2 linked regions of the Macaca mulatta genome follow. The protein of the gene in region 1 binds, or shares a complex with, the protein of each later gene. Links are inferred from orthologs where the notes say so. Each region holds a gene or a part of one and is shown on either strand. Other genes may lie near its edges.

Region 1 (9,759 bases):
AGCAAAGAGATTTTTGACTTTGCTATCTGAAGACTGTTCGGTATCAGAGTTCTTTGACAGTTCACATTTGTTAGGTTCCACTTTGCTTTCAGATCCACTCTGGGCTACTGAACTAGTTTCGCTATTGTTACTTTTCAAAGGTGCATTAAAACTAAATCCAAACAAAGACCCAGTGGCTGAACTGTTGCCAAATGCAAATGGTTTTGATTTTTCACTACTAAAAATGCTTTTAACAGACTCTGAACCAAATACAAACTTTGGAGGAGAAACCACTGCTTTTGTTGTTGTTTCAGATGTGCTAGACACTTCAACTTCTGAAGTTGCATCTGCTACATCATCACCCTGAATAACATCTGTCCTCTCTCTTGTGGTCTCTTCTAATACAGCTACAGCAATTTTGCCACATGGTGACTCTCTGGGAGTGCCTGACCGAGAAACATGAGGTGTTATCAAAGAATCTTTTTCCTGGGCTGTTTTTGCTTCATCAAAAATTTTCTTAAATGAGTCTGCAACATCCTGTAGTTTAAAACGAACAGCTAAATGCTCTACTTTTCTTTCTCCATCTGCAAAATCACATGCAGTCCACACCCATACTCTTTCTGTCCCTTTCATATTTTGCAAAGTCATGTCTGGAGTTATTCTGTGATTGGCACAAAGTTTTAATACTTGGTCTCTTCTCATCACTATACGAACTTGCTTATTATCATAATTCTGTAAAATCTTTATATCACCAATGCCCCTTTCTTTCCACTGACCAACATCTTTATCGTATCTGTAGAGTTTTGCCCTGTGACTAAAAACAACTTGTTCATTTTCCTCACCACTGGATACTTCAACTAGATCAGGTAAAGGAACAACAGGTTCAAAGTACTGTCCATCTCTCTCTTCTTCTTGAGTAACATCAGATTCTTCATCAGTGCCAACTGATGTCCCACTCTGATTCAACTTGGCAGGAGACTTAGATGGACTCAAAGCAGATTTAAAACTGAAGTTAAATCCTGTTGTTGACTCACCAAAGCGGAAAAGATTTTTTCTCACAGGGCTACTTGCCAATGGAGAAGCATGTACTGAGCTACTACTAACACTATCATCCAAAGCATCTTCCCTTAAATCATAGTTATCCCATTCTAATGTGGGCCCAGTGTTTTCGGGATTGGGTTTTATTGTTGTGTCTGAGGCACTGGCAGAACCTGTACCTGAATTCTTATTCTCTTCTTCAGTGACTTTTGTTTGATCATTTGTCAAAAATGTCTTGAAATCTTTCAGTCCACTCTTCATTTCTTCAGCTCTCTGTATTAACTTGGCAGCTCTGCCAGTATCTACAAGTTTATGGGGAGTTTGAAGTGGTATGTCTAACAGAAGCCGCTGGCATTCCTCAAACTTCTGCTTGAATTCTTCAGCCAGCTCTGGTGTTTTAAATTTTGCTGCCAACTGCTCTAGTTTGGCATCACCATCAGAGAAATCACTGGCTAACCACATCCATGCTCTGTCTGATCCAGAGAGAGGCTTCAGATTCATCGTAGTCGTTATCCAATGATTAGCACACACTTTTAGTACTTGTTCTCTTCGCATCAGCATTCTTAGTTTGCCATTGACCTCATTTTTGAGAATTTTTAAGTTCCCCAAGCCCCTTTCTTTCCACTGACTTATCTCAGCATCAAACCTAAATAGTTTTACCCGCTGTGAATACAAAACTTTTTCATCTTCTTCTCCTGTTACAAGTTCTACTTTTTCAGGCATTTGAACTACTGGTTCAAAATGGATGTCATCACTGTCCTCAGTCTTATAGGCATCATCATCTTTCTCAAAGTCACCAGAAGTGTTTGCTTTATCGGCCATTTTACCACATTGTGATGAGAATAATTTTTCTCCAGCACCTGAAAATCCCTTGAAATTGGGGTCTTTTTTGCCAAACTGAAATCCTTCTCCTGAGGTTGATTTTGCAAGATCTGCAAATGTAAAAGTGCTACTTGTTTGACCAAAAATCACACCACTACCATTCTTCTGGCTACTAATATCCTGAGCCTGGAAGCCAGAATCATTTTCAAGAGGCTTTTCACTTTTCTTTTCTTGATTCCCTGGTTCCGAAATGCCAAATTTAAATCCATCAGCAGACACAGGGATGGAAAATCCTTCTTTGGTTGACTTAAATTCTGTATTAGAAGAACCCTGAAACATAAATGAAGGTGAATTTTCTTGATCCACATGCCCAAATTTGAATCCTTGCTCTGTATTGCCAAACTTAAAAGCTTTTTCTGAGAAATTACTTTTAAATCCTGTTCCCACCTGACTTCCAGAAGAGTCATGCAACTTCATTTCTGAGCCCAATGTGAAAGCTGAAGGAGCTTCTGCAATAGGTTTATGAGTTGGTTTAGAGGCATCACAAGCCACACATGTTAAGGAAGAACTCTCATTTTGTACACAGCAAACACTACAATCCCACTGTCCTTTCTTGATGAACATTCCTTCAAATCCACTCTTTGGAGCCTTGCTTACCTCCGAAGAGGTAGGTGTTGAAATTGCAGTTGTTTGATTTTGTTTACTTGGATACTGACAAGCAATACATTTGGTAGCACTGGCTTCATTTCTTACTAAGCACATACTGCAATCCCACTGTCCTTCCTTCTTAGTGAACATTCCCTCAAATCCACTCTTTGGAGCCTTGCTTGTCTCTGAAGAGGCAGGTGTTGAAATTGCAGTAGTAGTCTGATTTTGTTTACCTGGATTCTGACAAGCAATACATTTGGTAGCACTGGCTTCATTTCTTAGTAAGCACACACTGCAATCCCATTGTCCTTCCTTCTTAGTGAACATTCCCTCAAATCCGCTCTTTGGAGCCTTGCTTGTCTCTGAAGAGGCAGGTGTTGAAATTGCAGAAGCAGTTTGATTTTGTTTACCTGGATTCTGACACGCAATACATTTGGTGGCACTGGCTTCATTTCTTACTAAGCACACACTACAATCCCATTGTCCTTCCTTCTTAGTGAACATTCCCTCAAATCCGCTCTTTGGAGCCTTGCTTGTCTCTGAAGTACCAAACTTAAAAGAGGCAGGAGCTGAAACAGAAGTAGATGGACTTGGTTTATCTGGATTCTGACAAGCAACACATCTTGTAGCATTTGCTTCATTTCGCACTAAGCATGAACTGCAATCCCACTGTCCTTCCTTCTTAGCAAACATGTCCTCAAATCCACTTTTTGAAGTTTTACTTGTCTCTGAAGTACCAAACTTAAAAGAGGCAGGTGTTGGAATAGCAGTAGCAGGTAGACTCTGTTTTCTCGGATTCAGACAAGCAGCACATTTTGTAGAGCTCCCCTCATTTTGTACCAAACATACACTGCACTCCCACTGTCCTTCCTTTGTAGAAAAAACAGATCTGAAGTCACTGTTAACAGGTTTAGGAAGATCTCCCTGGCCAAATGTAAATGAAGCCTGATGAACAAATGAAGATCCACTTTTGTTAGCAGATTTTGTGTTCTGACACGCAATGCACCTAGATACAGTAGGTTCATTTCTTACTAAACAAATACTACAATCCCAGTGACCTTCTTTCTTTGGAGTCATCAATGCAAATCGATCTTGAATATTCTCTGGGCCAGTTTTAGGAGTAAAAACAGTTTCAGCTAATGGTGGGCCAACGAGTTCTTTATTGCTTGGGTTTAGATTTTGGCATGATACACATTTCTTAGCAGTTGCAGCATTCTTTAATGAGCAGCTGTTACAATGCCACCAAGACCCTTCTTTCTTTCCAACTTGAAATTCAAAATTCATGTTTCCAGCATCAGATTTGCAAATATCCTTGCTATCATGACTTGTGGGTTCTTTTACAATTCTGATAGCCTGATTTGATGCTGTGGCTACATTTGTTCCTGGGGCTTTTAAAATGCTCTGGGCTTCTTCAAACTTGCACTTAAAAAGTGCTGCTTCCTCAGGAGTTTTGAACCTAATAGCAAGTTGTTCTGGTTTTGGCAACTCATCTGCATAATCAAGGGCATGCCAGACAAAAGATCTGTCTGATCCAGCATTTGGTGTCAATTTCATATCTGGACTGATATAATGATTTGCACAGATTTTCAACACTTGCTCTCGTCTCATTAGAAGGCGAATTTTACCAGATGTTTTATGCCTCAGTATTTTTACATTGCCAATCCCACGTTCCTTCCATTCTTTGGATTCTACATCAAAACGGAACAATTTCGCACGGTTGCAAAAGAATTCTTCTTCATCTTCCTCACCAGTTTTTACTTCAATCTTATCAGGAAGAGGTACTACAGGCTCAAAGTGAGGACCATCATCATCATCATCCCCATGGGCACTTCCTCCATCTGTCTCATGGTTCTTGTTTGCTGTCTCTAAAGTGGGTGTTCCAAATACTGATTTCCCTGGACCACGGAAAGTAAACATATCATCACTTCGCCGAAAACCAGAATTCTTTTGCTGAGCTGACCCCATGTTTTCTGTAAACGAAATTCCAGACACATTTTTGCTTCCAAAATTGAATGTATTTCGAGGCCCAATGGTCTGACCACCAGGAACTGGTTTGGGTCCACTATAGCCATCTCCTTGCAAGGGTTTATCTGAAGTCAGGAGACCTAAAAGGCTTTCACTGTTACTGTAAGCTGCAGGAGGGGGCTGTGTCACAACCTGTGGTGAGGAAAATGTGAAGTCACCATCATTTGATTTGAAATTTGAGTTAAATTTAAAAGGAGGTGGCTGTGTTGTGTGTGCTGGTGTTGGCAAAGATGGCCTTATTCCTTCACCTGGCATGGGCTGAACAAAATTAGTTTTCCCAAATTCTATAGTCTTAGATTCTGCAGATCTTGAAGCATGAGCTGCAATTGGAGGTTTTGTGAAATATCCTGGTTCTGGCAAAGGTGGATTTGTGCTTGTCTGCTGAACATTGTAATTAAAGTAATCATCACCCCTGGGCGATAGAATTCCTGTTGCAGGAGACTCAAAACGCAATGCAGGAGGACCATACATCTCCTGAGAGAACATACAAGCAGATGAGCTTTGCACTGGTGGTGTGTGCATCTGTTGCGGATAGGCATAAATATGCTGTTGGGGTGGAAGCCTATTCATGCCATAGACTGGGCCCTAGAAGACAGAAAGTTAAAACATTTTGTAGATTGTCTACAAAACTACAGATAACTAAATGCAAACCAATTCTCACAAACTTCAAACATGAATATTAAGTGAAGAAGATATCATTAGGGGATGTAGTACACATCATTAACCCGTTTATGCCAGAGGCTGCAAATTTTCTGTGTGAAAAATCAGACCTTGGCAATGACCCTGAGCAGTAAGATATAAATAACTCCCAAAAGCTTAGTGTTCCAATAATGGAACACTAGGCATAAATAGGTTAAGAGAAAACCACATTGCTACAAAGATACTTGCATATATACTTGGCATATAATGAAAATTAATTACAGCATCTTAAAATCTACAACTAAAGTCATAAAATAAATACCATCTTCATTCCTAAACAATTTATCAAATGATGTTAATAATGATGATGATGATGATGATGGTAACATTTATTGAGCATTTATTAATGTGCCAGCTGGGCACTATTCTAAGCACTTTACATTATTATCTCATTTTAATATCCTCAAAAACCCTATGAATTAAGGTATTATTATTATCCTCATTTTACATATGAGGCAACTGATGCATTGAGAGGTTAAGAAACTTGCCTGTGGTCAAAATAAGCAGAAGAGCAAGGGTCTAAATGCACCCCATCACTCTGTCCTCAAAGCTATCACATTCAACTACCACTGTAATTTTGAGTCTTCAATCAATTGTTATATATATAGCTGTATCAGGCCTGAAAGTACTTACCACATAGTGGGTCAGCAAGGGCATTGTAGTTCTATTTCTGTTAAAACAGAATGATGAAGGATCCACCACTACCACTCCCATTTTTAAAATATTCTAAATATTCACACTTATTGTAACACAAAAGGTGACTAAGAAGTATAATTTCTATATCTGGAGATAAATTTAAATTATCTACACCTTAAGGGACATAAAAGTTTTAATACTGAACTGCTTTCTTGAATTTCTTTGAAGGAACCCTAAACAATTTAAAATGGAAATAATTATAAATGTATAAATTATTCCTTTGTTACCTTTGTGGGAGTAACATTAGCTGCTGGTCTGAGAAGATACTGGGAATTATATGCTGGTGACTGACTATAATATACTGAAGGGCCAGTAGTTGCAACTAAAAAAAAAAAAAGAAAATAAAGAAAACACTGTTAAAGTCTATACTACAGTTAAGACTATCTAGGCAAGAGCTATAAATACAAAAACAATAGAAATTAAAGAAAGATTTAACTACATAAATTTTAAATTTCTGTACATCAAAATACACCAATCAAGATTATCAAATGACAAACTAGAAAAAAACTGCTAAATATGACATGAAGAATAAGAGAATAGCATCGCGTGATCAACAAGAACAACTACCTCACAAGCATTAAAAAAGGAATAAAGAAGAAAGTAGCTGGTGCCTTTTCTAAGAAAGATCAGTATGATGTGGAATTATGGACATTCAGTCACAGAAAGGACGTAAGGAACCAAGATGCCATCTGATGGTCAATGCATTTGAAGTGGGTCTAGAAAATCTGCAGAAAGACTAGGTTGTATTTTGTAAACTAAAGCTATTACTGCGAATGTTCAGCTCAAAAATCACCTGACAAATTCATGGAAAGGATCTCACAAATAACACAAAATGTGTTCCTTGGCTTAAAACAAAAAGCACATCAACACTCATGCTGATGTAAACTATCTGCTCCGCCTGTTCTGTGTTTTACCAGGAAGCCACACAACTAGAAGGCACCCATGTTAATGGCAAAACTACCAACAGTCATTTGCTTGAACTGTTTTATGACAGTTTTACCAGAAAACCACCAAAAGACCTTTTATGCCTGTACATGGAAGAAGAAACAAATTGTGCCAAGAGGTTCCAAACAATTGCCTCTGGAAAGCACTGAAAAATCAAGACCTAGAAAAGGCTAGCCAGAAGCCCAAGTTTGATTTTGGAAACCTAATAGAGGTGAGGATAGCAATTTGGAAATTCCTATGGGGAGGAAGCAGGCACAGAACACAGAACAACCTGACAGAAAATGGCCCAAGAATCTTAAAGTCTTACGAGATGTCTGTCTGCATGAAAGCAAAAAGAAAAAATAAAAAAATAAAATTTTAAATTAAAAAAAAAATCTTAAAGTCTGAAATTTAAGTAGGGACTTTAATTGACTACTGACTCTAAACTGTGGGGAAAAAAACTAAAGAGCTCTAATAAATCTACTAAAAGTAATCTAATTTTTGAAAGCACCACATGAATAGACAATTTAGGAAAGAAATGTAATAGCCTCAAGGGCCGTGTTTTTGAAGTGAGCCTCGAAAATCTGCAAAATGACAAGGCTGCATCGTGCAAACTCAAGCTATTATGAAAACATTCAGGTCAAAAAAATTACCGACAAATTCATGCAAAGGATCTCACAAGGAACACAAATGTGTTCGTTTGCTTAAAAAAAACACATTGACACTCATGTTGATACACAAACTCTTCTCCATCTGTTCTGTGAGTTTTACCAAAGAAACCAAACAACTGGAAGGTACCCACGTCGAAGATGGCACAACTGCCAACAGCCATTTGCACAAACTGTTGAGCATGACTAGTATTAAAAAAAACTTAAAAATTGGTATCACTTTTGTTCCTACAAATTGGCAAAGGATTTTATAAACTAGTAAGTCAGCATTAGCAAAAGTGCGAAGATGGCACTATCAGATACTAGTGGTAAGAACATAAACTGATTCTACAAAACTAGGACAGTGTCCTAGAATTTGTAATGGCATAAACCAGAAACAACATAAATAAAGGAACAGAATTTACAGTACTTCCATGTGATGGGATACCACAAACTCATTAATATTCAAAAACATTTCAGTTTAAAAATGCTCAGAACTAAAGTAACATTTAAAAAACAGGCTAGCTCATCCACACACAACATACTAACATGGTAACAATCTCATAAAAAATACTATATGTATAGAGAAAGAACCAGAAGGAAATGCTCTCAAATATAAGAAATGTTAATAAGATGGTTAGTTTTTAGTTTTCTTCAACCTGTTCAGTACTTCTGAGCATCTCCTACGAGCTTATTAATCTTTAATTTTAATCATCTTATTTTAAAAAAATAAGGACCATCTTGATATGTTTACTATTAAGGAAAAAAAATGTATGAACACAGGAACAGAAATCAGGAGATCCTGGCTCTCCCCCTTTCAGTGCCACAAAGCTGTTCTGTGATTGGAGTCTCCATTTTTCTCAATTGTAAAATGAGGATGTGCTGTTTGTACACATTTCATAGGGTCATTGCAAGAATAAAATGAGACAATGAGAATGTTGTATTTATATGCTTGTAAAAGAACAGAAGGCCTTTTATACCTGTACACAGAAAAAATGGAACTCATGACCCAAAAGGCACCAAATAACTGACTGCACACAGCACTAAAAAAGCCCCAGAAAAGGTCAGCCCGTTTGTTTATCCTCTTACAAGCACCTATATGATGTGTAAGGTTTTTAAGTAAATAAGGTTTGAGTGTTAGACATTTCATATACTTATCTATGACTTATGACATTTAATAAGCTTCACTTCACAAAGATTTTCTGTTACTTTGCTTGTGTTGAGAAGATACCATCGCAAAAGGCTAGTGGGGTTGCTTTAACTATATGAACCATCACACAAATGTGCTCATCTAAACTAGATTTTATTCTAAATCTTTCCTGGGCTAAAAAGAGAGAAAAAAAAATGTGCACTACTGCCATTTCAGGAGTCTGTCTTACGTAAAAGGAACATTTTTTGTTTTTTCTGGCTGCCTGGGAGCAATGTATTATACTGGCAAGTGCTTTGGAGTTACACCACTGGAGTTTGAATCTTGGTTCTATCAATAACTAGCTGTATAATAATGAGTAAGTTACCTAACCTTTCTTTATCCATTTCCTCATTTATAAAAAAGGGATTAATAATGGTACCAGCCATTCTAAGTTACTGTAATTAAATAAAATTACGTTCACAAAGCACTTTTGCACATAGCCAACCCACAGTAAACACTAATAGTAACCTTAGTTCATTAACTGTTTACTGTATACTCTAATAAATGTCTGATATACACCCACGCCCATCTGCACATACACAAATGCTCATAGTAATTATGTGAGGCAAGTATTATCTCCACATTTCAAACAGGTTAACTTACACAGCTATTACAGTGACAGAGCACAACTTAAAAACCCAGTATGATTCAGGTCCAAAGTCCTTTTCTTTCTTTATGTAACCATAATATTTCAAATTAAGTAAGATTTCCTATATAATGTCCTGCCTCTCATCATTATCATCAAAATAATTCCCCAGAGGTGTAGGTTCTTAATTAAGCATTTCTTAGTGCATAACTCTATTCATTAACATTTTTCAATTTAAGGAATAATCTCATCTCAGACAGCTTATCTGAGGTGTGGATTAAGGGTTCTTTAAGCCTTTATATACACGTGATCACATACAGCTCGTCTTTTCTGCTTGGGGTTATAAAAATCTCAGTAACACCAAATATAGCTTTTGAAGTAACATATAAACAGACGTTGACATGTACATTAACAAATATATATAAACAAGGTGATTTCACAAGTTATCTACTTAAAAGAGGCTAGTAGTTTTACTAAAATATGCGATTATCCACTTGCCAGCTCAC
Region 2 (10,544 bases), on another chromosome or scaffold:
ATGACGAGTTGATGGGTGCAGCAATCCAACATGGCACATGTATACATATGTAACAAATCTGCACGTTGTGCACGTGTACCCTAGAACTTAAAGTATAATAATTTAAAAAAAAAAAAATGTCACCTTGCAGCCACTGGCCTCATTAATCCTAATCGGAGTATTTTCTTTCCCATATCACATCTTAAAAGGGAGGCCTTACTTTTGCTCCTACAGGACTACTGCTTTGCTGTATCTTCTCTAAGAAACACATCCATAATGAAGGTGTGTGCCACCTCAGGTGAAGCGAGAAGAGAGAAGCAAGTTAGCCCAACCTCCTCCTTCCTGCTGGGGAACATTCCAACCACTGATTCCTGGAGGCAAAAGGAGAGAACAAGACAACATTCTGTTTCAAACTAGAGACAGAGATGAGTGTCCCCTCCTTCTAAAAAGAAGTGTGACATCTTCATAAAGGGGAAAGGCTGTCAGAGCCCCTCACTTGTACAAGGTCCAGTGCAGGAAGCTAGAATGTGGCCACTGAGAGCTCATCACTTCAGTCCACGGACAGACAATGCCAGGCAAAGTGCCCTTCTCCCAAACACCTCAGTAGAGTCTGGCTATCCAAGGAATGCCAAGTAATGTTTCTTAGAACTTTCTTTGGAATCCTGAAATGGTGGCCTGAGCCTTGGATTATAAAAGAGGATTCCCCTATTTCTCATCACCTCATGCCTCATGCTTGGCTTCCTCTGCAGGACTGGGCCAGAAGATCAGATGGAAAGAGAAGGATTCACCTGAGGCAGCACACACCTTCGTTATGGATATATTTCTTAGAGAAAATACAGCAAAGCAGGAGTTCTGTAGGAACAAAAATAAAGCCTCCCTTTCAGAATTCAAAGATGTGATATGGGAAAGAAAATACCCAGATTAGGATTAGTGAGGCCAAGAGCTCAGAGGTCATTTCTCTTCACAGGTGTCAGTTTAGCCTTGATTATGCTGGGGCAACCCAGCTCGACCTTGTCCTTCCATGGACCTGCGGTGTCCATGTTTCCACCAGTTGTTTGTTTCTCTATTTACTTTTAGGACAAAAAAAGTCCCCAGCTTTTATTTTGTGGTAGACCTCTCAGAAACCCATCAGCATGCCTGTGAGCTTAGCTTATGCTGCTCCTCTGCATGGAATACCTTCTCTCTCCTCTCCACGGTGACTGCCTCCTCTTCCTTCAAGGCCTAGTTGAACTGCACCCTCTGTGAAACCTCCTCCCCCTCTCCAGGAAAGGTGAGTCACTTCCACAGCACCTGTTTCTGCTCTCATCCTCACACTCAGCACCCTGTAGGACCCCACGAGCCCCTGGAGGCCCAGCAGGCAGTCTGGAATGGAAGATGGGTTTGAGTGATTTATCATGCTGCCACTGGCCCTGAGGCCTTATCTGTAAAACAGCATTCTTCTCGCCTACCTCAGAGCCACTGTGAGGCTCAAACAAACCCCCAGGGTTAAAGTGGGAGCGGTAACTTGTAAAAGAACCCCCAGGTGTCACCTCATTCATTGATTTCCTCATTCACAAGGCACCAAATGCCAGTCACTACCAGGCAGAAGCTGACAAAGACACAGTGCTGACCTTCAAGGAGCCCACCATCTAGGGTGGGAGACAGGAGCAAGCAAAAAGTCACAGAAATGCGTTTCCACTCTGATGAGGGCAAGCCCAGAGCACCAATGCAGGCTGCTGGCTCAGGGAAGCCTGCCCCAACTAGGAGATCCCTAAGCTGACTTCAAAAGACCCCAGAAGAGTGAGTAAAACAGAGGGCATGGTGTCCTGAAAGACATTCCATGGCCAGGGGTAGGAAGGACAAAGCAATGGCACAGAGCCACAGAGCGAGCATGTTTTTATAACTGTGACAAGTTGTGTCACAGCAAGTGTGAAGCAAGATCGGGAGCAAAGTTGAGAACATGTGGGGCCTGTGTGCCAAGCTAGGGAGTTACAAGGGGGGAAAGATGGTGGAGCCCCCAGAAGTTGGAAGCAGGAGTGAGTGTTGCGATTGGAAAGATCACCTTGGCTGCAGTGTGGGGAAGAGATTTTGGACAAGTCTAAGGCTCCAGGCACGGCGGGTAGGGGGAATGACAAGAGCAAATCAGAGACGAGAACTACATTTGACCCCTGAACAATGTGGGAGTTGGGGCACTGAGCCCCAAAGTAAAAAATCCACATATAACTTTTGACTCACCTAAAACTTTACCAATATAACTTGCTGTTGGCTGGAAGCCTCACCAATAATGTAAACAGCTGATTAACAAGTATTTTCTGCGTTACATCCATTACATATTGTGTTCCAGCAATAAATTAAGCTAGAGAAAAGAAAATGTTACTATGAAATTGTAAGGAAGAGAAAATATATTTACTATTCATTGAGTGAAAGCGGGTCATCATGGTCTCCGTCCTCATGGTCTTCACACTGAGTAGGCTGAGAAGGAAGATGAGGAGGAGTTGATCTAGCAGCTCAGGGGTAGCAGAGATGAGAAAAAACCTGCCTGTAAGTGAACTCACAAGGTTCAAACCCATGTTGTTCAGGGGTCAACTGTAATACTGCCTGAAGACCTGCTCAACATCAGGCCACTTTACATATAAGTACCTCATCCCATTGAGATGCAAAAGTATCCCATCAGGTAGACAGTACTGGCCTCACTCGACAAATAAGAAACAGGCTCAGAGAGGTTAAGCGACTTGCCCAAGGTCACACAGCCTGCACAGAACTTGTGTTTGTCCCTTGTACTCTGTCAGGCTTCCGATCTGCAGGCTGATGGACAGGGAAGCAAAATGTGGAGGGACATTAAGTTAGAAGGGTTAGCAGGGGCAAAACTGGGCAGAGGGATCACAGGCCAGGCTAAGGAGCCCTTTACAGTCCAGGCTCTGAAGGTTTAAGAGCAGGGAGATGCCGTGACCAGAGCTGTTCACTATGAAGATTAACCTGGCAGAGTAGGGAGGACTAGCTAGGTGAGAGGTGGGAAACAGGGGAACTACTCATCAGTTGTCTGACCAAGATTTACTGAGCACCTAATATGTGCCCCTCTCTGTTCCAGGTCCTGGAGTACCAGTAGTGAATACAACCAAGATGCCCGCCCTCAGATAGCCTGCCTTCTAGCGGAGGGACAACAAAGAGCAAAATAAACAAGCAAAATATACAGTAGGTCAGAAGGTGATAAGGACTATTGGAAAAAAAAGCAGAAAAAAAAGCAGAGCAAGGTGAGTGGCCTGTTTGTATTGGGGGCTGCAGTACTTAAATAGGGTGCTTAAGAGGAGGCAGACAGAGAGGACAACTGGGACAAAGATGAGAGGCAGTAGTGTGGCTGGCACATGAGGTTCAACCACAAAGCCAGTGTTCTGGGGCTGAGAGAAGAGTTGTGGAGTGATGGGAGGGGACACGTCGTGCCAAGCTTTGGAGACCATGATGAGAACTCTGGCTCGTACTACTTGGGGGGATGATGATGACCCAAAAATTAGGAGTCTGTTCACTGCTGAAGAGGGCAAAGGGCAGAAGCTCCATTTAAAAGGTTCTAATAAGCCTCAGGCCTTTCTCTGCCTGAAAAACTTACTTTCTGCCCTCTACTTCCCTAGATTACTGCCCCAGTGCCTGGAGGAAAATCAGGTGAAGGCTAAAAGCCACGTAGACAGCTAAAGAGGGCAAACTGGACCTCCAGCTCCACTTCTGCAGGTCTGTCTCAGTCCACACAGCCCTTGCACACGCTCCCTTTTAATTCTCCAAGCATACCTCTCACTTCCAAAACTCCTGTGACTCTGCTGATGAGGGCGTCTCGGCCTGGAATGCTCCTCCTTATCTGCACTGTGTGGGTGTCAAAAAGAGTATATTTTGATGACCTCTCCCCGCCCCTCTTGCTTGCTCACATCCCCTTCACTCCTTTCAAAGTCCGTTCCCAAAGCCCCCAGTTCACCGTCCTGGGCTGTTTTTAGCCAGGTAAGACCTGAAGTGATCCTCTCTTGGAACCTGGTCTGGGGCCTACACATCTGGGTCAGTCTGGGGGTGCTCTCGAAGGGCCACCCTCAAAGAGCGAGCCTCGGCTGGATTCAGTTCCTAGGTCCCAGCCGTCCGACCTCTGCCACAACGCTCAGCAGACCCCTTCCCCTCTCCGGGTCTCAGTTGCCCCGTGAGTACAGTCCCTGCTCCAACACGCAAGGTCAATCGTCTCTGGCTGCTCTGATGCACTCGGTCCCTAACTCAGCCTTAGGTCAGCACAGAAAGCACCCGACCCGGGCGGCCCCGCAGCTCCTCACCCTCCCGCCCCGCCCAGTCGCTGACACAGGGTGGCCTCCAAGGGCAAGGCCACGACTCTTACCCGTCCGCAGGTGCCCCACTGGCTGGCCTCAGCTCGCAAGCAGGCTGCACCCACCGAACTCCAGCCCCGGAACGCCACCCTTTACTCCCCTCCCGCGTGAGCCGAGAATCAGCCGAGCTTCTTCTACCAAGAGGATTGGCCCAGCTCGGCGTCGGCTCAGCCAATTGGCGCTCACGGCTTGATCTTGCCCAATAAAGACAGGTCTCTGTCCCCAGCGTGCCCCTCCCCGCGCTGGGCCTGGGCTTTGCCAGGTTAGTCCCACCCTCTTCGGCCCTGCACCAGTAGGGAGCGGCGGCGGCGAGCGGACGCCCAATGGGGAGCGGGGCTGTGCGCGCGGGGCGGTGGGAGCGGCGCCGAATCAGTGTACACGTCGGTTGCCTAACAACCGGCCGTGGACTCCTTTGGCTATGGTGAGTGCTGCCGCTCTGTCGCGCCCCACGCCCAGAGGCTGAGCCCTTCCCAGGCCCCAGCTCGGCCACGCCGCCTCTCCTGCGCCTTTCTCGGCTTTGACGCACCAGTCCTTCCTTTGAGCTCTTTCCCGGAAGAGTAGGGTACAGACGCTAACCAACCTACTGGGCCTGCGCTTTGCTGCTGCCTCCCCTTCACCCACAACAGGCCCACACCCGCCCCTCGGGCTCCCCTGGCCTTCCCTGATCACCTCGGTGAACCTCCCTGGGCAAAAAAGACTCGAATCCCTCACAGGCCCCTGACTTTCTCAGACCTTGGCCCCCTGGCCGCCTCATTCTGCCAAAATTTCCACACAGAGCTGGGAGAAGGTGTATTGTGTTCTATTAAAGTGTTTTTTACAATTTAAATATAGGGGCATTCAGGGGATGCTGTAGCTTCTTGGAGAAGGCACGAAGGTGTCAGATGGATTGAGTTTTATTACTCGATACTGACACAATATACATCTTAACAACTTGCTAATATTTGGCCAAATCTAGAAGTAATTGGGAAGTCAGAGTGCTTACTGGGAAGCGGAGTACTGGGAGTGGGCATTGTAAGGCAGTTTCCAGAACCAGGATCCCCACATTCGGGAAGAGCTGATTATCTCTACTTATTCGCAGTCATTTTCTTGACTAGCTCTCTTTTGGGATGATTTTCAGTAAGAGGTATCCTTACTGAACAAGTGATCTCCCTGCTTCTAGAAACGACAGTAAAGAAAAGGGAGGGATAGAAGTTCATGGAAAGATTCATTGTTCTTGCCAGTAAACCCTGTTATCTTTCTTGTTAAGCAAAGCTTTGGAATTGGTTGCCATAAAATTATTTAAAACTACATATGGGTGTCTGTAACTATGTTATGTAAATATGGACTGTACGATATATTATTGTGCTTGTGTATTGCATAACGTATGAAGGCCTCCAACTTTAAGAAGACAAACATGGCATCAAGTTCCCAGAGAAAAAGAATGAGTCCTAAGCCTGAGCTTACTGAAGAGCAGAAGCAGGAGATCCGGGAAGCTTTTGATCTTTTCGATGCGGATGGAACTGGCACCATAGATGTTAAAGAACTTAAGGCAAGCTCTATGCATTCCTGCCGTACTGCCCTTCCTTTCCTCTGCCTCTTCCTTGTCATCTCCCTATCACCTCTCTACCCCTTTTGCCCTCTTCTCCCTGCAATAAGTAACAGGGGAGGTTGTACTGTGCTCTGTTTTCCTGTCTTTACTTAGAGTATTATTAAATAAAATTGATTGCAAATGTCAATTAGATCAATGTTATAGTGTTCCCCAATCATATTAACATGACCACATCAGATGCTGGCTTAATGCTCTCAACACTGTTGTTTTTGCTGCTGCTAGTTCAGATGTGCTTATTGAGACAATCCTGTTTTCATTATAGGTGGCAATGAGGGCCCTGGGCTTTGAACCTAAGAAAGAAGAAATTAAGAAAATGATAAGTGAAATTGACAAAGAAGGGACAGGAAAAATGAACTTTGGTGACTTTTTAACTGTGATGACCCAGAAAATGGTGAGTAGCTAAGACAATTTGCATGGTATGGCGCCCCAGTCATCTGCAGAGGCCCATGGCATCTGCCTGTTAAAACAGTCATGTGACCACAGAGCAGTCCAGGTAGCAGCTGCATCAGGAGGCCTGCCCTCCCATCATGTTACCTTGGGCTCCCAAAACAAGCCCTTGTACTTCTTTCTCAAGACTTCCAAGCAGATACCTCTTCCCACAGAATTCTAAACCAGTTAGGAAATAGATATGGGATAGGGAGAGATATAGGGATAGGGAGCAAACGTCACCTTGGATGGAGTGCCTGGCTTGACTGGTGTTTCTCTGAGGCCAAAATGGGCTTCCTGACACTTGCTGCAAGTCTAGACTCGAGTTACATTGTTAAAAAGGAAAGGGTGACCTGACCGGGCAGTGGCAGGGCTACAGGACATGAGTAACCATGGTGTCCCCCTACTCATGTGTTTCATGTTCTATTTGGTAAGTCTGAGAAAGATACCAAAGAAGAAATCCTGAAAGCTTTCAAGCTCTTTGATGATGATGAAACTGGGAAGATTTCGTTCAAAAATCTGAAACGCGTGGCCAAGGAGTTGGGTGAGAACCTGACTGATGAGGAGCTGCAGGTTTGTAATGCATCACACTGGAACTTAAGATTCCCACCTTTGGGCCCTCTGTGACTTTTCTGTTACATTTTCCCTAGTGTGAGCACTTCTTTGAAGGAAAGCCAGTGTACTTTGTCCCTCTGTGGACAACTGAATTCTCCTTTAATAGTCAGACAAACCTATGAACGCTGCTTCCAGAAAAATGCACATAGGCACAGTTTTGCCTACTATTTTACATTCCAGGAATCCCTCTAGTCAAGGTAATCTTCAAGCTCCCTCCCAGGTGATAATGTTTGACAAAGTATGAGTTGGTTTTCAAATAAGTTTTCAGGAACCAAGCTATTATCAGGAGTGGCATACTGGCATTGGGTGGACTACAATTATCTATTCACATAGTGTTATTAAAAGTCTATTGCTTGCCAGGCACAGTGGCTCATGCATGTAATCCCAGTACTTTAGGAGGCTGAGGCAGGAGGATCGCTTGGGGCCAATAATTTGAGAGTAGTGTGGGCAGCATAGAGACCCCGTCTCTAAAAAGAGTCATATTACTTAGTCACCTTTTGGCATTAGTTTATAAATTAATCTAACCTGAATCTTTACTGTCATATAGGAAATGATTGATGAAGCTGATCGAGATGGAGATGGAGAGGTCAGTGAGCAAGAGTTCCTGCGCATCATGAAAAAGACCAGCCTCTATTAAGATCAGTGTCTTCTTTTTCTACTGCAAGCACATGTAACTAGATTTAGTGCCTGCCATTGTGTGAAATCTGGCTTTTGAGAATACAAACTTTTCCCCCACTGACCTCCCTTTATCACTTTAATAGTGACCTTGAGTCTATTTTAGCTGTTTGGAAGTGTTCTTTGATATTACAGTTCTTTGTAAAATGACCTGCGAATTACCCTAATTCTCAAAAGCAAAACAAGAGCACATTAGCATGAAGAAAAAGATCTTAAAGCTTTGAGCACCTGCCATTTTGCCTTGCATTGTTTCCCTCTTATCATGCATTTCCACATATCCACAAACACAGGACGACTTTAGACAAGCACATGTTACACTTGTGTCACCACAAGCAGTCATTCTTGAGTGGCTCCAGTTTTTATTTGACACTTGAGTTTAGTTTTCTCTTTAATAAAACCCAGTGAAGTCTTGCACTGGCATTTGGATGTGTGTTAATGCTATTTGTTTTGTCTTAAAAATAAAACCTTTCTCAGTTTGAACTTGTGTTCTCTAAGGATGAGTTCTTTAGCTTTGCTTATGAGTTCCTCTTCTCAACTATTGTGTTGAAGGCAGCCTGTTAGATACAAAACTCCTTACCAGCCTATGGACAGAAATGAATAATCCTTTGCTACTTTCCTGGCGTGAATTGTTTTTTGCCTTGGGAACCTGCTGGTTTGTAAAACTAGCAGAAATTTTATATTAGCTAAGCCTAAATGATGCTCTAAAAATAGTTTTGGCAAAGTGTAAGACTGGAAAAGAGTCTTGTTAGTAATTTGTGCTTGAATAAAATGGGGAGAGCCAGGCTAATCCAACACTAGGATGGATTCAGCCAACCTCTCATGAATTTATTTGCTTATGGTGTCTCATCGACTCTTGGAGGTGGGTTGGGCTGAGGGACCCTGTCCAGCCATCTTCCTGGCCTTGCACGGGATTACCTGTGAGAGAAATCCTGGTAGATGACATGAAAGTCTCTGCTCCAGGTTGAGAGTGGGGAGACAGAAGGGGTAAGGGAGAATAGAAAACGAACAATGATGGAATGCTCATTTGTTCACGTGGAGACAGAGAAAACAGATTTTCAAACTTCTGGGGGTAGGCTAGTCCCCTGGGGATAGGGTTGCACTGATTTAGCTAATAAAAAGAAAGCCTAGGTAAATTTGTATTTCAGATCAACAATGCATTTTTTTTTTTTTGTATGAATATATCCCATTTGGATTTTTTGTTTATTCATTGTTGATCTTAAATGCAAATTTACCTGAGCATCCTGTATTGCCACTGGTAACCCTACCTGGGGAGCACGTTACAGAGGCCAGAAGCCTGGCCCTGGGTCTCATGCCTGGACCCTGACATCCTGTAGGACTTGGGGGCCCAGGAATATGAACTTTACCATATCCCGCAGAGGAGTCTCATGCAGAGGGACTGCTCCTTAAGAAACACTTGGGGGAAGAGCCCAGACTAGCCCCATCACTGGGTTCTCACACACATACTCACCCACTTCCGCGCCGGGCAATTTGGGCCAAGCTACTTCTCTAGGTGCCTGGAGTTTCATGTCTGTGTGATGGGGAGAAGAGTTGTGCCTACTCAGAATCACTGGAGGTGAAATGCAAACTTACAGAAAGGACCTGGCTTGAAGGTGTTCAAGAACAAGAGGATTCAGAAGTGTTCAGTCTCACTCCCATTCCTTTGCTATAGTTATCACATAAGCTTTGTTGTTAAATGTGGGTCCATGAAGCTTTTATCATTACTGTCCCCAAAGTCTGTTGATAGCATTTCCTAAGAGGATTTGACCTTTGTCGTATTGTGATTTTCTAATAAGAGGCATATGATTGGATAAAAGACATAATGTTAGAAAGGAGTGAAAAGACTGGGCCCTGCCTCCGATTTTACTGTTAACTGTAACCCTGGAAACACTCATTTGAAAAAAAGTTAATTAAATGAGATCATGTCCTTTGCAGGGACATGGATGGAGCTGGAAGCCATTATTCTCAGCAAACAAACTCAGGAACAGAAAACCAAACACTGCATGTTCTCACTCATAAGTGGGAGCTGAACAAAGAGAACACATAGATACAGGGAAGGGAACAACACACACAGGGGCCTGCCGGTGGCAGCAGGGGTTGGTGGGGGGAGGGAGAGCATCAGGATAAATAGCTAATACATGTGGGGCTTAATACCTAGGTGATGGGTTGATAGGTGCAGCAAACCACCATGGCACACATTTACCTATGCAACCAGCACATTCTGCACATGTATCCCGGAACTTAGGGAAAAAAAAAAAAAAAAAAAAAGAGAACAGTTTTAGGGATAAGGAAAAAAAAAGTTAATCAAAAAGAAGTTTTAAAATTGACATTGTATATATTTATGGTATACAATATGATTTGAAACGTGTATACATTGTCGAATGGCTAAATTAAGCTAATGGACTATCCTGGACACATTCTTATCTCCTCCTGCTTAATATTCCCACAAATGAAATCTCTCAGGAATCTCTTGAGAGAGGACAGAGAGTGGCAAGTAATAGGTTATCCCTGAGGATAAAAACAAACATAAGGTGTTCACCATAGCTATGCCTGGCAGCCATTCTAAGATAGGTGTGCAGTTGTTCAGTGGAAGGGATGGGGACAGAGAGGGAGCATGAGTCAGTGGGGCTGAACCAGAGAGCTGCAAGGGGATCAGGAAGATGGGGAAGGAGAGGGAGCTGGGCTCAGTTCATCTGGAGGCAGAAAAGAGTCCTGAAGGCGGGAGAGGATGTGGATGGAGAAGTAACTGAGGTCAGTTCACGTGGGGCTGGACCAAGAGGTGGTGGGAAATTGCAGAAGATAGGGACAGAGAAGTAAAAGAGATCTTCCCATGGGGTGTCCTGGAGAGGTGCAGGGGAGAGGGGGTAGGGGGGAAGGGAGTGAGAGAGAGCAGGGATCAGTTCATGTGAGGATGTAACTGAGTTTTCGTGGGAGTA

Evidence for each region.
Region 2: RANBP2 (region 1) and centrin-2 share a complex: the UniProt entries of both Homo sapiens proteins name them as parts of the nuclear pore complex. The link is inferred for Macaca mulatta from reciprocal best matches to the Homo sapiens genes RANBP2 and CETN2.

The regions. Positions count from the first base shown.
Region 1 is NC_133418.1:19,337,608-19,347,366, reverse strand, and holds part of RANBP2 (E3 SUMO-protein ligase RanBP2), read right to left. Parts: intron 6,230-9,759; coding exon 6,135-6,229; intron 5,098-6,134; coding exon 1-5,097. UniProt on the Homo sapiens protein: E3 SUMO-protein ligase which facilitates SUMO1 and SUMO2 conjugation by UBE2I. Involved in transport factor (Ran-GTP, karyopherin)-mediated protein import via the F-G repeat-containing domain which acts as a docking site for substrates.
Region 2 is NC_133426.1:159,102,963-159,113,506, reverse strand, and holds centrin-2, read left to right. Parts: upstream 1-4,701; 5' UTR 4,702-4,725; coding exon 4,726-4,728; exon of another isoform or gene 4,729-5,094; intron 5,095-5,676; coding exon 5,677-5,835; intron 5,836-6,157; coding exon 6,158-6,286; intron 6,287-6,756; coding exon 6,757-6,894; intron 6,895-7,483; coding exon 7,484-7,573; 3' UTR 7,574-8,091; downstream 8,092-10,544. Other genes in the region: NSDHL (sterol-4-alpha-carboxylate 3-dehydrogenase, decarboxylating), read right to left, coding at 124-173. UniProt on the Homo sapiens protein: Plays a fundamental role in microtubule organizing center structure and function. Required for centriole duplication and correct spindle formation. Has a role in regulating cytokinesis and genome stability via cooperation with CALM1 and CCP110.